Oryctolagus cuniculus: one gene and its partners. The protein of the gene in region 1 interacts with the protein of each later gene in a pairwise test. Links are inferred from orthologs where the notes say so. Each region holds a gene or a part of one and is shown in the gene's direction. Other genes may lie near its edges.

Region 1 (4,903 bases):
ATGGATGCAACTGGAAAGCATTATACTTCGTGAAATAAGCCAGTCCCAGACAGACAGTGTTTCCCCAATCTGTTACAATAGATTACAAAAAATGTATATGACCAAAATTGACATTTTGAGATTTGATTATTTATAGCCCTTGTTTCTACTGTTGAGGAAAAGTGATTTTTTTCTTCTTACTATTAAATTCTTTAAGTACTGGAGGGTTAAGTTTATGATTATAAAATAAAGTATGTCATTGTAAAAATTTTAAAAAAGGAAGAAGGGTGGGAAGTATGACTGTGCTCCTAAATGTGTATATATGAAATACATGAAATTTGTTCACCTTATATAAATTATTTTTAAAAAGGAGTGGTAGACAAAAATGTTTTGTGAAGTCCCTGGAGTGAACTTTGGTGAAGGACATGAGCAGTGATTTTCATGACTTTCTGAATGAATATTTCCCCAGCTGTTTTTCAGTACAGGAATATAGGAAATGAGTAAAAGCTTTGGATCACGTTCATACCTTTTAGTTTTTTCTCCTCCTAAAATCCCTAAATATGAGGGCACTTCAAAATTTTTGTGGGAAAATGGAATTAAAAGTTTTTAAGTCCCTACAGATTGAATAATACACTTGCATGAACATTTTGAATTCCCTTAAGTCTGTCTTAAGGTCAAAATGTTAATTAAGACCTGCCTATGTCATAAAGTTTGGCTGAGTGTACATGGTTAACAGAAAAGATAATTTTCCCCATATACAGTACCACAATATTACCTGAAATAATGAAAATGTGACTTTTTTCTAATATATTCAACTCAGTTTTGTTACTATCTATAAAACTGCTTTCTATAGAATAAAACTTGGTAAGGAAAACTAGAAAAATAACAAATATCTTAGTGTTTTAGACATGCTAGCCTAACATAACAAGAGGTATGGTGTATATTTCTTTACCAAGAATAATTTTTTTTATTAAAGGCTTAGTAAAATTAATTTTCATTATGTGTTTTCATCAGGACTCTCAAATTGCAGACATACTGTCAACATCTGGAACTGTAGTTACCATCACAATCATGCCTGCTTTTATCTTTGAACATATTATTAAACGGTAAGTACACAAGTCTTCAAATACTACATATAGTTGTATGAGTTATGTAAGCATTGCACTTTTCTTTAATTCCCAAAGCTTGGTTTATTGCTAAGGAGTGATACATTTATTTAAAAATTTGAAGAATAAATTATTTACATCCAAGGATTGGCTGGTAAGGATGACTCTTCACAGCTTCCAAGTATGGAATGAAATTCATCCTATTACTTGCCAATTTTATTTTTTTTTTAAATTTATTTGAGAGCTAAAGTTAGAGAGATAGAAAGGTCTTCCATCCACTGGCTCACTCCCTAAATGCCACAATGGCTAAGGCTGAACCGATCCAAAGCCAGGAACCAGGAGCCACTTCCAGGTCTCTCACATGGCTGCAGAGGCCCAATAAGTGCTGCTATCCCAGGCCATAGCAGAGAGATGGACCAGAAGAGGAGCTGCCAGGATACGAACTGGTGCCCATTTGGGATGCCAGTGCTGTAGGCAGAGGCTTAGTCTACTATGTCACAGTGGCAGCCCCTCTAGCTAAATTTTTACATTGCCTAGTAGAAAGAGGGTGTCCAAGCAGAAGTGGACAGAGGTGGGCCTGCTGTCTGCTTTGAACAAATGACTGCACCCTGGAAGTCTAGTGGTGGTGGTTCAGGATGGAGAATTCTTGCCTGTGGGATGTTACAAGTACCGGTTTCTATTCCCTCCCACGCCTCCGAGGACAGGTGAGAGTTGGGTAGTGCAGCCGTCCCTAGGAACTGATTGGAAAAATGTGTGAGAACAGAAAAGGGCTAAGAGTTACTTCTCTAGAGCTTTTCAGATCCTAATTTCTGTCAGTGTTTTTGCCATGCCAGCTTGGAATCCTTTCAGAATCATTAACATGAATGTGGAAGTGAAATTTAAAACACTCATAAATATAACCCTTCTTAGCTACTCTTGGAGCATTTTCTTGAGTTCTTCTCTGCAACCACTGGAAACCGGTCCCTCCTTCCCCATGTGCCTCTGTAGTTAACCACAGCCATGTCATTTTTCTTTCATTAATCACCAACCTAACTATACGAGGACTTTTTACCTTACCTAGTAACTTTTCTAGCCGGGATAAAGAAGGCCTGTTACTACTGACTAGAAGACCAGAGACCCTTATCTCTGAACTCACTTGAATGGCCTTCCCCTTCTCCCTCAGTCTTACTGGATACCCAAAGGGGCTGATTAGATGGCGTTTTCCTGGATTAGCACATTTTCAAAACAAACAGAACCTGAGTGTATGATGAAAATGATTCTCTTGTAGGATGGCGCCAAGCATCATGAAAAGCCTGATGGACCACACCATCCCTGAAGTTTAACAGTTAGCACACAATGGAAACAGCTGAGCGTCTCCAGTTTCCTTTCTCAACTACTCCTGTATTATGCACACGAAGCTTTCCCGGAGCCAGGGAGCATATGCTGCATGAGGACCGTCCCGTCTCAGTTATGGCTGGGAATCTACTGGTTCATCTGGTCTCCTCAGACTTCACGGTAGTTGTAGCCTTAGCCTGGTTTTACAGCTGTGAAACTTTCACAAGATTGACTGACTTTCCTAGAATAGTTTCTCTACTGGAAACCTGATGCTTTTCTAAGCCATTGTGTTGAGGGAGATTGATGCCAGCTTAGCTTTGTATGAGAACCAGTTACCTTTCTTCTAGGTAATGAGTAGTGCTCTTCATGTCATTTTAGTTCTATGGTATATCTGCATTAACATGTACGTGATAGTACATTTAGAGTGATTGCCTTTGGTAGGTTTTTTCTCCCTCTGTATGTATGTAAACACCAATTACGTAATGCTGGTTTCATTCCATGTAAGCATTATACAGTTTATGTAGGTCGCAAGAGATTATGATGATTGTCATTAAATTTTAACTACCTTCACTAATATGCTTCAACTGTCGCCTTAACTATGTTAAGCTCTAGAACAAAAGCCAAAATATAATTATTGCTGCCTTCCTAAAACTCAAAATGTAGTTCTGTATTAAACTGAAATGTGCACTAGCCCAAAAGAGGTTAATAGCATAGCTGCTTGGTTGTATTTGACACTTTCTAGTCATCGCGTAACAAACATCTTTCTTCTCCAAGTTGCCAGTACTGCTTCCTGAGAAACAAAGCGCTCTATATTTAATGTAAAATTTCTTATACTAAACAGGATGAACTTTTGATTCCTCTTTTCATTTGTAGATTAAGTAGAATAATACTTAATTTTGGCATCTGAATGTTAACATTATGTAACCTACCTACTTTGGGATAATAAAATGTTTTCCTGACTCTTCCCTGTAAACAAAGTGACGGTGACACTTTATTTTTTCTGTTTTGGTTTATGCCTATCCTAATTAAATATGTATAAAGGGAAATTTTAGTCTGTTGTTGCATCATTTGGAAGCCACTGACAGAGCTTGCACACAGCCGTACTTGATCTTGAAGACAGGGAAACAGTCATCTCCCAAAGCAGAGACCAGGCCTGAGACTGAAGTGCCTCCAGCTGGGCGCTGCTTCACACGTGTGCATCGCAGCAGGAACTCAAGGAGCCTCTTGATTTCTCTAGTTAGTGTTTTAAGACACTTAAAACTGAGTCTGAGAAATTCTTACTACCATGGTCTGTAGTGTTTCTCCCCCATCCCAACTGCCTGTAAGGTACTATAGTAATTATGTGACAAAAATATGGGTGTATGTATTAAAAATTGAATATAAAAGAACAGTGTTGTTGCTGTACTATGGACCTTGTTTTGAGATTTAGAAAACCAATGTGAAATGCTTTGATTGCTTATCTTGCTATCTAGACTTGAGTTCTTAGTTTTAAAAGTAGTGGAACTGTGTTCCTATGACTGAATACAGTTTTCTTGAAGGATCAATACTTGTTTTCTTAAAAGCTACTAATTAAGAAAATGAAAACTGCTTTCATTACAGAAAAATATTTTTAATGTAGAAAAGATGAGCATTTAATAGTTTAATGAAATACAAACCGTTCCCATACACAGTAACCTTACTGTTATGAGAACTTCTGATCCTTCCCAGGTTCTCAGAATCTGGGTAGAGCATTATACAAAGTAGCCGCTCCGTGAAAACACACATACCTAAAAACCTGGTGGCAGCAGTTGTGGTAGATTAGGAAGACAAAACAGGCTCTCAGAAGCAGCAGCGAATACTGCACATTTCCTTGGAAAGCTCAGTTGTTCACGGCTACCTGGTGCTTGCCCAGCTTAGTAGCTCTGAGCTACTCTGCCATGCAATCCTGTCTCCTAACCATCACAGTGGTATGACCCTCTGCCTTACAAACGAGATGCTTCCCCTAAATACTGCCATCTCATCTGCCTTAGAGGATGGCAGCTAGTGGCTTTCAGTGAGGTCATTGTGATTTACAAAGTTTAAAACCACACAAATTTCCGTGTGGTAAAACTTCTAGTTTCTATCATTGCACATTCACCAGTTCATTTAAAAGTTTGGTTTAAAAATATTTTTAAAGTTCAACTTGAATATGCAAGACAGGAAAAGGCACTTAATACTGCAATTTCCAGAACATAATTTGTCTGTCTTCTCCTCCAGTGATGATACTGCTGCACTGTTCATTCATCCATATACAGGTCACAGCACCTGAGAGAGAAGACGTTTTCGTTAGTCAACTGGGGCACCCAAAGACAGCTCTTACTAGAATTAATGAATGATAGCAAGCAAAAATGCACAAAGTTCTACTCTGTCTTATCTCTATTGTAAGGTCCTGGTATAATTAAAAATAACTACTTGGTATAACAAACTTGTAAGAAACCATCTAAATGTTAATATAGAGGTAAAACCTGGGAATTATGGATACAGAA
Region 2 (5,668 bases), on another chromosome or scaffold:
TGGGCTCCGGTTCAAGTCCTGGCTGTTTCTCTTCTGATCCAGCTCTCTGCTATGGCCTGGGGAAGCAGTCAAAGATGGCCCAAGTGCTTGGGCCCCTGCACCCACGTGGGAGACCTAGAGGAAGCTCCTGGTTCCTGACTTCAGATTGGCCCAGCTTGGGCCGTTGTGGCTAATTAGGGAGTGAACCAGTGGATGGAAGACCTCTATCTCTCTGCCTCTGCCTCTCTGTAAATCTGCCTTTAAAAGAAAGAAAGAAAGAAAGAAAGAAAGAAAGAAAGAAAGAAAGAAAGAAAGAAAGAAAGAAAGAAAGAAAGAAAGAAAGAAAGAAAGAAAGAAAGAAAGAAAGAAAGAAAGAGAGGGAAGGAGGGAGGGAAGGGAAGAAGGAAGGGAAGGAGGGAGGGAGCAAGGGAGGGAGGGAGGAAGGGAGGAAGGGAGGAAGAGGTAATCAGAGACTAACTAGTTAATTACCTAAGGGAGTGAGGTGGATCCCTCGGGGGTGGGTTAATTGTGGCGAGCACAGGTTATTACAGGTGAGCTGACACCTGTCTCTCTCTTGTGCTCCTACCTCCCCACTTCTACCCTCCCACCACCACCCCACCATATGATGCAGCACGAGGCGACCCTGAGAACTGTGGGTAAATAATCCTCGTAATCATAGCCCCAAGTATTCAATCATAGCAACAAGAAAGGGGCTACAGCGGTGCCCCTGCGAGCTCTGGCCCCCCCTGCACTCCAGTCTTTGGTGCTTTGCCTCCATTACACCCCAGTCCCGCACCGCCCTGGGAGACCTGCCTTCCTCCAGGCCGCCTGGTGTCCTTCCTGTGGAGCTCCGGCCGTCCCACGCTTCTTCTTTCCTGATGGACGCTGCTAGGGGGTCTCGGGGGAGGCTGGCCAGCTCCCAAATGGGTCACACCCCAAATAGGTCTCTGATTCAGCCACTCAAGAGTACCAATTCCTGAATCAACTCCTTTTCCTGCTCTGCAAATGGCTATTTTGCAAGTAAGGCTTCCAAAAGAAGTCAAGTTAGGATCGGAACACAAATCAATATAACCACAGCAAAATGGAGGGAATGAAAGGTCAATGAGGCAGAAAAACGATTCCATGAGAAAAATTTTGTAAAACTATATAACCCTGGGTAGGGGGGAATGAAAGACACAATTACCCACATCAGGAATGAGAGACGTAGAATCACCATCAATATGAAAAGGATAATAAAGGCATATTATGAATAACTTTGTGTAACAAAACCCACAACTTGGACGAGATCCACAAATTTCTTGAAAAACAGTAATCTCACTTAAGGCACAGAAATTCTGAACAGGATTAAAACAGGCTCCAAATTATCAGTGCTGTCTTACCGACAGGGGAACTGGGGGCCCCAGAGTCTCCGGCAGTGCCGGGCGGCTCCACTTGGGAAAAGCCAAGCCATGATGAGGTCGCCTTTCTGCCAGACCTCACACTCACTGAGCAAGCACACTGAAAACGGTGGATGAAGTTCTAACTGGGTGACCACCTGACCACACCTGACCACATTCATGTCAGCTGGATCTTGTTGGTGGCTCCCACATGGCTGTGGATCCGTAAAGATCGCTCAGCACCAATGGGTAGCCTCCCTGGACAAGCCTAAACGCAGACCCTTTCGGCACCCGCAGGAGCTATGTTGGGATTAAGTAAATGATTCCCATAACGGGTTTGGCACACGGTCAACATTCTCTGCCACATGGGGACAGGCTGAGACCCACAGAGCCACCAAAAGCCACTCCCGGGACATCGCGTTGCTCTCCTCTCTGCTGAGTTGCCCTTCGACAAGCAAAGAGCGGTTGAGTGATTCCATTGCCAACACTGGCACCTCGCGGTGGACAGCGGGCGCAGGTCCAAGATGACTCAGCCTTTGTTACTCCCTCTTCGGGGTCCTCCCAGACTTTTCCTGCAGTCCGCCCCGCAGTGCATTGCGGCCCCTGCTGACCCATCCCCGTCCGGTTTTGCCGGGCGCGAACCTCGCTTCTCAGGCACTCGCCGCACTCGGAGCCGGGATCCACTAGGGCGCAGCGCTGGGAGGGGGCGGCCCCGGGAGCCGGGGCGTTACGAAAGCTTAGGGAGCGGACAGCCCCTCCTCGGAGGGGAGGGACCCAGGCCAGGGGCCTTGCTCTCCAGAAGTTGCCCGGCTGGATCCCAGAACTGAGTTCCGCGCGGCTCTCCGCGCAGTACGCGCCATCGGGGATCGGCGGCCGGGTCCGCTCTCTTGCACAGGTGTCCCGAGCGCCCAGCCATGTCGTCCTGCAGCCGCGTGGCGCTGGTGACCGGCGCCAACAAGGGCGTCGGCTTCGCCATCACGCGCGACCTGTGCCGGCTCTTCTCGGGGGACGTGGTGCTCACGGCGCGGGACGAGGCGCGGGGCCGGGCCGCCGTGCAGCAGCTGCAGGCCGAGGGCCTGAGCCCGCGCTTCCACCAGCTGGACATCACGGACCTGCAGAGCATCCGCGCCCTGCGCGACTTCCTGCGCCGGGAGTACGGGGGCCTCAACGTGCTGGTCAACAACGCGGCCATCGCCTTCCAGAGTAGGTGAGGGGCTGGGAGGACGAGGGTCCCTGGGACGCCTCGAGAGTGCGGGGCAGAGAACAGCAGGCGCCCCCAACGGCCCGTTAGAGAGATCGGGGAGGGAGGCCCCTCGGGATGCGCTCAGCTCCCGCCTCTCCCGGCGGGTTTTCGCTTTCCCGTGGTTCGCAGAGCGCGGGGCGAGCCCTGGCGCGGGACACCGCGCGCCCCGCCCGCGGGCCTGTGTGGGCCTGTGCGCCGCCCTGGGCCCTCCCGGAACTGTCAGTCGCTGTTGTTTGCAAGAGAAGCGGCCTCCTGGGAGGGGCCCACGCCCTGCTCAGCTCGTGGAGGTTTTCTGTCCGTTGCGAGAATCTTCTCCGCGAGGGGGTGGCCCAGCCCCGCCTGGAGCTTTCGCTTTCGCTGGAACAAGGGCGCATTCATGGCAGGCGGGAGGCATCTGCCGCGCGCGGGCAACGAGCGCGCTAGTGCACACCAGTGCCTTTCAAACCCCGCTCAACCGCGAGATTCGCTGGGCTCCGGCAGAAGGGAAGAGAGCCTCGGGTCCCTTCTCCAGGGCGGCTGCCGTTGGGTCGCAAACATGCTTATTTCAGGGGCGAAGAAGAATCAAGGAGCTTACAGGTTGTAAGCAGTACTCGGTTAAGTAAGTTCTTGAACTCAGCCCTGTGCTGGCGGTACAAGAAATCAACGGGACCACTTCGCTTCCAGCGTGGGGAGGCCTCGGTCCGCCGCCCTGGGCACTCACCAGCGCAGCGCGGCGCGGGGCTCCCAGCGCAGCACCTGTAACTCTGCGTGCAGGCTTCCAGGGGCTTGGCGGGGCGGGGCACAGGGCGGAGCTGACACACACCCCCCCCCAAACAACCTCAGCTAGGGGATAATTACCCTCCAGGAGGGACCTGGGTGAACTGGGATCTGTCGCCCCCCAAAATATGGGCTGTGGGCCAGCAGCACCTGCGAGCCTGGACATTGGTTAGCAGTGCAGAATCTCCGGCGCCCAACGGGCTGACAAAATTTGCGTTTTCACAGAATCCCCAGGTACACCAGGACTTGGAAACGTTCGTGGGGAAATGGAAAGAAAAGCTTGTTCTGGTGCAAAACACTGAAATTCTTGCAGTTTTCATGATAGGCATTTTCCACAAAGTTTCAGAAGACCCTCCTCTTTTGCGTGCATTTCACAATGTTTTCCCACTGCGATAAACATTTTTCATTCCATCTTCCATGAACTTTAGAAGTCATTTAAAGTCCAACAGTGGTCTCCCCCCAATGCTCGCAACAGCTGGAGCTGAGCTGGGCCAAAGTTAGAGCTGGGGGCTCAGTCCAGGTCTCCCACGTGGGTGGCAGAAGCTCAGTGTCTTGAGCCATCACCTGGTTCCAGGGTCCACGTGAGCAGGAACTGATTCGGGATGCAAGCATCATCCCAGTGTCTTAACTGCTGAGCCCCTGGACTTGCTGAAGCGCTCTCCTACCTTCTATGCGCCATCAAGTTTGAGCAGTGGTCAAAGCCAGGAGTTCTCTAAGTGTGGCTGAAGACCAGCTGCTGTTGCATCAACTGGGAACGCAGAGCGTCACCAAGCCCTGCAGGTGACTGATACACACCCAGATCTGAGGACCATCAACTTGGTGATGTAAAAGTTGCTTCGCTGCTACCTGTGTCCCCTTGAATTGCTATCCTATAGGATCCACTGTGTCATATGACTTTCAGGAAAATTGTATGACGGTCTCGTTGCTTCTTTCTCCTTTTGAAAGCTGATGATCCGACACCTTTTGATATCCAAGCGGAGCTGACAGTGAAGACAAACTTCTTTGCCACGAGAAACGTCTGCACCGAGTTGCTGCCGATCATGAAACCTCATGGTAAGCCCCGTGAGCAGGGAGTCAGGAAGGAGTCAGCCTCAGACTCCCTGGACAGGGCTGCCTGCAGGAGTCACCCAGGGTGCCTGTTCTCTGTAGCGGGAGAGTAGACAGCGTCCTTCTTCTCTTACAGTGTCTGACTCTTCACTTGAGCATCTTAGCTTCAGGGTGCAAAGGCATGTGGGCAGTATCTCAAAGCTCTTAGAATCTACCATGAACTCCGCCCTAGAATGACAAGATGTTTCAAGTTCACAAAGACCCTTGCCTCTGATCACACCTGGTCCACTGGGGGATAGTATCACTTCTTTAAAAAAAAATTGTTTATTTGAAAGGCAGAGTGACAGAAAGAGAGAGAAATCAATCTTCTCTCTGCAGGTTCACCTCTCAAATGGCCAACATAGCCTGGGTGAGCAAGACCAAAACCAGGAGCCTGGAACTTCATCCAGGTCTCCCACATGGGTGGCAGGAACCCAAGCACTTGCGTCATCTTCCACTGCTTCCCGGGTGCATTAGCGGGAAGCTGGATCAAAAGCAGAGAAGCACAGCTCAAACCCATGCTCCAATATGGGATGCTGCATTGCATTGCAAACAGCGGCTTAACTCACCGCACCACAATGCCAGTCCCAGGATCGTATCTCTCCGAGCATTAAGATACTCCCTGGGGTTGGCATTGTGTCATGATGGTTAAAGCCACCAACTACAATGCCAGCATCCCATGCAGGTGACAGTTCATGTCTCGGCTGCTCTGTTTCCAATCCAGCTCCCTGCTGGTAGCCTGGGAAAAGCAATAGAAGATGGCCCAAGTGTTTGGGTCCCTGCCACCCACATGGGAGACCTGGAGTAAGTTCCTGGCTCCTGGCTTCAACCTGGTGCCCAGCCATCTGGGGAGTGAACAAGCAGATGGAAGATCTCTCTCTCTCTCTCTCTCTAAACTCTGGCTTTAAATAAATAAATAATCTTAAAAAAAAATAAAAAAAAGACATTCCCTGTCTTCCTTCTTGGGCTAAACTTCATTAAACTGATTCAGAAAATGCAAAAGAATTTGTCTTTATTAGGAAATATCTTGTCCATACTGATAATTTTCTTTTTTTTAAATACTAGACATGCTATTGTATTTAGGTATAAGGGATTTCATTTTTTAAAAAATGTTAGCTCCCACATATAAGGGAGAACTTGCAATATTTGTCTTTCTGTGTCTAGCATACTTCACTCAACATGGGACCCTCTGCTTACAGGCACTTTGTTAGAAATAGTAAAATTTCAT
Region 3 (4,833 bases), on another chromosome or scaffold:
CAGCACAGGGACACCCCAAGTTCCCAGCTTCCTGGGGTGCGCTGGGGAACAGGGAGATTCGGGGCGCAAGGCAGTGCCCTGGGGCCGTGTGCGAAGTTACCAAAGCCACAGGGCTCCAAGGGAAGGGCCTCGGCCCGGGCCAGGGCTGAGACGGACAGCAAAGGACCCTGCAAGGGGCTGGCCCAGGGGCCCTGCAGGACAGGCGCTGGGCTCGGGACGTGCGGCGCACCTGAGACGCACACCAGGGAGTCCGGGCAGAAGGGGGCAGAGTGAGACCTGGGAGAGTCCCAGGGTGGCCGCTGTCCCTCTCTGTCTGGTTCTGCCTCCCCATGTCCTGGCTCAGCCTCTTCCACTTGTGGGCCCCTTGAACGTTGCCTGGCGCGTGGCTAAGATACCTCTCAGGGCGCCCCACACGCCGGCTCTGAGCTCCTGGCTCCTGGGTTCCAGTTCCGATTCCAGCTTCGTGCTGTGTGCACCCCGGGAGGCAGCAGGTGACAGCCGGGCTCCTGCCACCTACACAGGAGAAGTGGGGTGAGCTCCTGGCTCCCCTCCCTGCCCTGCCCAGCCCTGCCCTGGTTACTGCAGGCATGTGGAGAGTGAACCTGCAGACAGAGGTCTGTCTACCGTTCAAATAAAATAATAAAACAACAAAGTCCTCTCTTCGCCAGCAGGCCTACCTGAGGCTAAAGGTCTTCAGGCTAAAGTGGAAAATGTGGTGAATCAGTAACTCCACAGGCAAACTGGGCAGACAGTAAGTGTGGAGGGGGCTGAGGGGAGCCTGGGTGGCCACCCCGCCCAGCGAGACCGTGGTCACACGCAGGGTCCCAGGGAAAACACTGGGAACCAAAGACACGCGAGAACGCACACACGGTTTCAGACAGGGTGCCGCCCTGGGGGAGCGCGCGGCCTTGGGTCTGGTCCCAAGGGTCTTAAGCAGTCAGCAGCTCCAAGGCCGACGCTGGCCACTGCCCCTTCCCCTCCCCCCGCGGAGTCAGCATGACTCAGCACATCCCGGCCTGGTCACCCGCCTAGGCCGAGGGCCCCAGATACTGCTTGGGCCCAGCACCTGGGGGTCGCCTTGGCCAGGAGCTGTAGCGCCCAGGTCCTGACCCTGCACCCCGCGCCTGGGGCCTCGGCTCCCCAGGCCTGCCTCCAGGGGCCACTTAAGTGGGGTCCAGGTCCTGCCTTGGCTCCTCCTCCCCCGAGGTCAGGGCGCTGGTTTGAGCCCCTGACTCCCAGACCCACATGCATCTGGTGCGTTTAAAAAAAATGCACGTTCCGGGGAGACAGGCACCCCGCCCCTGTGTCCCCGACCTCTGTCCCTCGGCCGCCCAAGGCGTCTCCTGGACACGCAGAAGCAGCAGGTGGCAGGCCAGACACGGGGCCTCTGTAGAGAGACTGCTCCGGGGCCACGGGAGACCCCAAGTCTCTGGGTTACCGCCATAACAGCCCCCCCAGGAAACGCAACCCCAGGGAGACCCCAGCACCCGGGGGGTTTCACTCTCCCCATCTCACTTCCCAGGAACGCTGGGCGCCGACGGACTCCAAGGCATCCGAGGAGCCCAGGCTTCTGTGCGCCTTAAGGGGCCGGGCCCCTCTTACAATCGTCCCTTCCCCCCGCGCCCCAATAGACTTCCAGGACCCCTCCCCGCCACTTCGACCCCAGGCTCCACACGCCCCAGCATCAATGACCACCTGGAGCGCCTAAAGGCCTCCCGGGGAGGACTTAAATGTGGATGCCCATGGTGTCCCCACCTCCTCCTAACCCCCAGGCCTCAGGGCAGGAGCCCCCTCCTCCCAGAGATCCGCAGGGCTCGCTTACAGCCACCTCCACAGCCCTCCACAGCCCTCCTGCTCGGGGAGACCCCTCAGCTCACAGCACAAACCCCTGGCAGCCTGCAGGTCCTCTCCGCGCTCTGAGGCACGACCCCCCCCCCCCGGGTTCCAGAAAGTTCCATGCTCTCAGAAACGGCCACAGACCCCTGCTTTCCTGAGGTAGCCCCAGGACCACAGGGTCATCACTCCCCAGGGGCTCCCCGGGCACCCACCAACCTCTCACCTCCCGGAGAGACCCTCAGAAGCCCTCGACTTCCCCGAACCAGCCACAGAACCCCCACCCCCATTCTCCATTTCACAACAGGCTCGCGCAACAGGCGCGTGACTTCCCCACCTCAGGGTGGGGACGGAGACCCCCTTTCTGCGCCTGATTGGTCAGAAGCCGCCCGGAGGCCCTGCCTCCCCCAAACGCCAATTGGCCGAGCCCTCGCCCTCCGAGCCCCGCCCCCGAGGGCCAGCAGAGTATAAAAGCCGCCGCCCAAGCAGCCGCCCGAAGCTACGCGTCGGGAGACCCGCGGACCTGTGTCTTGCTTCAACAGTGTTTGAACGGAACAGGCCCGGGGACTCTCTCACAGGCTTCGACCGCCCTCCGACCTCCTCTCCAGTCAGAAGCTCCGGGACCACCTCTCGGCCACCTCCTGCTCCTGGGACCAGCCCACCGCGGTTCTGTGGTCATCTCACCGCCGCCAACCATGACCTCCCAGATCCGTCAGAATTACTCCCCCGAGGTGGAGGCTGCCGTCAACCACCTGGTCAATCTGCATCTGCGGGCCTCCTACACCTACCTCTCTCTGGTGAGGGTCCGCGGGACGCCCCCGACCCGAGTTGCACACAACTGCGCGTGCGCGGGCCCGCTTTGTCCCGCGGCGGCGCCGGGGGCGGAGCCCGCACGCCTCCCGCCAACGGTTTTCCTTTCGCGTCTTCCCGCAGGGCTTCTATTTCGACCGCGACGATGTGGCTCTGGAGGGCGTGAGCCACTTCTTCCGCGAGTTGGCGGAGGAGAAGCGCGAGGCCGCCGAGCGGCTCCTGAAGATGCAAAACCAGCGCGGAGGCCGCGCCCTCTTCCAGGACGTGCAGGTACCTGGTGTGCGGCCCGCGGACTACATCTCCCGGCGGGCTGCGCGCGCCGAGACCGGAGCCCGAGCGCCGGCTGGGTGTCGCGCGGCCTTCTGGGAGATTGAGTTCAGTCGTGAGCGAGTCGTTAAGGTTGGAAAAGGAGGTGAACCCTGAGGGCCCCGCGGTCCGGGCCGCTGCGTGGTCTCCTGAGGCGACTCTTGTAGGAGGGTGGGGGTAGTAAGTACAAGCCCGCCCACCTCTTTTGAGCGTCCCCGGCCCCCGACGGCTGCTGGGAAAGTGGAGTTTGGGCCCAGTGCTGAGCCCCTCGTCCTTTGTGCAGAAGCCGTCCCAGGATGAGTGGGGCAAGACCCTCAACGCCATGGAAGCCGCCTTGGCCCTGGAGAAGAACCTGAACCAGGCGCTCCTGGACCTTCATGCCTTGGGATCCGCCCACACGGACCCTCACGTAAGTGCCCCCGCCACCGCGCCTTTGATTGGGCTGATTTCCCTTGTGAGCCTTCCTCCTCCGTGCGCCGTCTGATCTCCCCTTCTCTCCGTCAGCTCTGTGACTTCCTGGAGAACCACTTCCTGGACGAGGAGGTGAAGCTCCTGAAGAAGATGGGCGACCACCTGACCAACATCCGCCGCCTGAGCGGCCCCCAGGCCTCGCTGGGCGAGTATCTCTTCGAGAGGCTCACGCTCAAGCACGACTAGGGGCGCCCGGAGCCAGCGGCGCCGCGCGTCTGCCCGCGCTCTCCTGCCAGCCGCCAGGCAGCTTGTTCACAGCCCTGAACCCTCTCCCAAACCTGGGACCAAACGGAAATAAAGTTTCTTGCTGCAGCATGGGGTTGTGGTGTGCATTACGGTGGAGGCGGCGGAACGGACCTTCAGGGCTCCACGGAGTGGGCTGGCAGGGGAGAGGTCCGCCAGGCCGGCTGGCCGTTAACTGCCCTGCCCAGCGGGTCGGGCCAGGTTCAGGGAGGGCTGGCAGCAAGGCCCTGTTCGGCCTCAGCAGCCTGGGCGGTGATGGGGTCAGGCAGCGGGCCAAGCTCTGAAAGGCAGGTAAACAATGAGTGACCCTTCACCACGGGCAGCCCAGAGCGGCCGGCCAAGGCTGCTGCTCCTTGCGCCCGCGCCGGGGTAACTCCGGTGCAGGGCACGTACCGAGAAGACAGGTCAGGAGGAGCAGGGGCGCGTGATGCTGTTGGGGTTCAGCACAGGAACCAGACGTGCGACCCGGGCCCAGAGTCTCCAAAGGGGAACTGAAGCAGCTTACGCGGGTTTCTAGAAGCGTCTGCTGGGTCAGCTCTGACCCCTGTTCCCTTTGCGGGAGCAGAGGAAGTGAACCGGGAGCTGGAGGCCTGCTCAGCGCCACGCCCCTCCCGGCAGGGCTCCCAGGGAGAAGGGGGCTTCTGTGTGTCTCACACATGCGCACACGCACGCGGGCCAAGGGGAAGGATGACGACACATCCCAACACAGCCAGCTCTCTGAGTCCCCGAGTAGCAGCTGCCTCTGAGCTGCACACCCGGCCTAGTGAAGATGAGAAATCAAAGGGAGAAACAGAGCCACGCAGGGGACAGCCAACCCGGGAGACGGCGCCCCCACCTGCGGCAGGACAGCCGGGCTGGGTCGTGGTAGGGGGAACGGCTGCCCGCCAGCGCTCGCTCCCAGTCACAGCCGCTCCTGCCAAAGTTTGCAAATCAAGCACCGGTTAGGCAGAAGGGCCTTCGGTGAAGTCCCCGGGGAGGCAGGGTGAGATGAGGGAGCAGGACAAGGCCTAAGGCCGTGCGGGTGGAGGCCCCAGCCTGAATCGGACCACACCTGGGATTCTTAAATAGATGTATTTTCTCATCTCTGGATGCACGCCAATCCCACTCCTGCCCCCTGCAAACCAAGTAGAGCAGCAGACACGGCACAGCACACGTGAGGGCCCTCCCTTG

What was found.
Region 2: the proteins of SDCBP (region 1) and carbonyl reductase [NADPH] 3 interact in binary tests that used the Homo sapiens proteins (3 or more experiments, as listed by UniProt). The two-hybrid records come from large-scale screens. The link is inferred for Oryctolagus cuniculus from reciprocal best matches to the Homo sapiens genes SDCBP and CBR3.
Region 3: the proteins of SDCBP (region 1) and FTL interact in binary tests that used the Homo sapiens proteins (3 or more experiments, as listed by UniProt). The two-hybrid records come from large-scale screens. The link is inferred for Oryctolagus cuniculus from reciprocal best matches to the Homo sapiens genes SDCBP and FTL.

The regions. Positions count from the first base shown.
Region 1 is NC_091437.1:83,784,511-83,789,413, forward strand, and holds the end of SDCBP (syntenin-1), read left to right. Parts: intron 1-993; coding exon 994-1,085; intron 1,086-2,352; coding exon 2,353-2,407; 3' UTR 2,408-3,445; downstream 3,446-4,903. Other genes in the region: NSMAF (protein FAN), read right to left, coding at 4,588-4,682. UniProt on the Homo sapiens protein: Multifunctional adapter protein involved in diverse array of functions including trafficking of transmembrane proteins, neuro and immunomodulation, exosome biogenesis, and tumorigenesis.
Region 2 is NC_091435.1:8,710,185-8,715,852, reverse strand, and holds the start of carbonyl reductase [NADPH] 3, read left to right. Parts: upstream 1-2,269; coding exon 2,270-2,558; intron 2,559-2,948; exon of another isoform or gene 2,949-4,299; coding exon 4,300-4,407; exon of another isoform or gene 4,408-4,629; intron 4,630-5,668. UniProt on the Homo sapiens protein: Catalyzes the NADPH-dependent reduction of carbonyl compounds to their corresponding alcohols. Has low NADPH-dependent oxidoreductase activity.
Region 3 is NC_091449.1:8,287,306-8,292,138, reverse strand, and holds FTL (ferritin light chain), read left to right. Parts: upstream 1-2,427; 5' UTR 2,428-2,528; coding exon 2,529-2,630; intron 2,631-2,766; coding exon 2,767-2,913; intron 2,914-3,232; coding exon 3,233-3,358; intron 3,359-3,453; coding exon 3,454-3,606; 3' UTR 3,607-3,734; downstream 3,735-4,833. Other genes in the region: apoptosis regulator BAX, read left to right, coding at 1-535.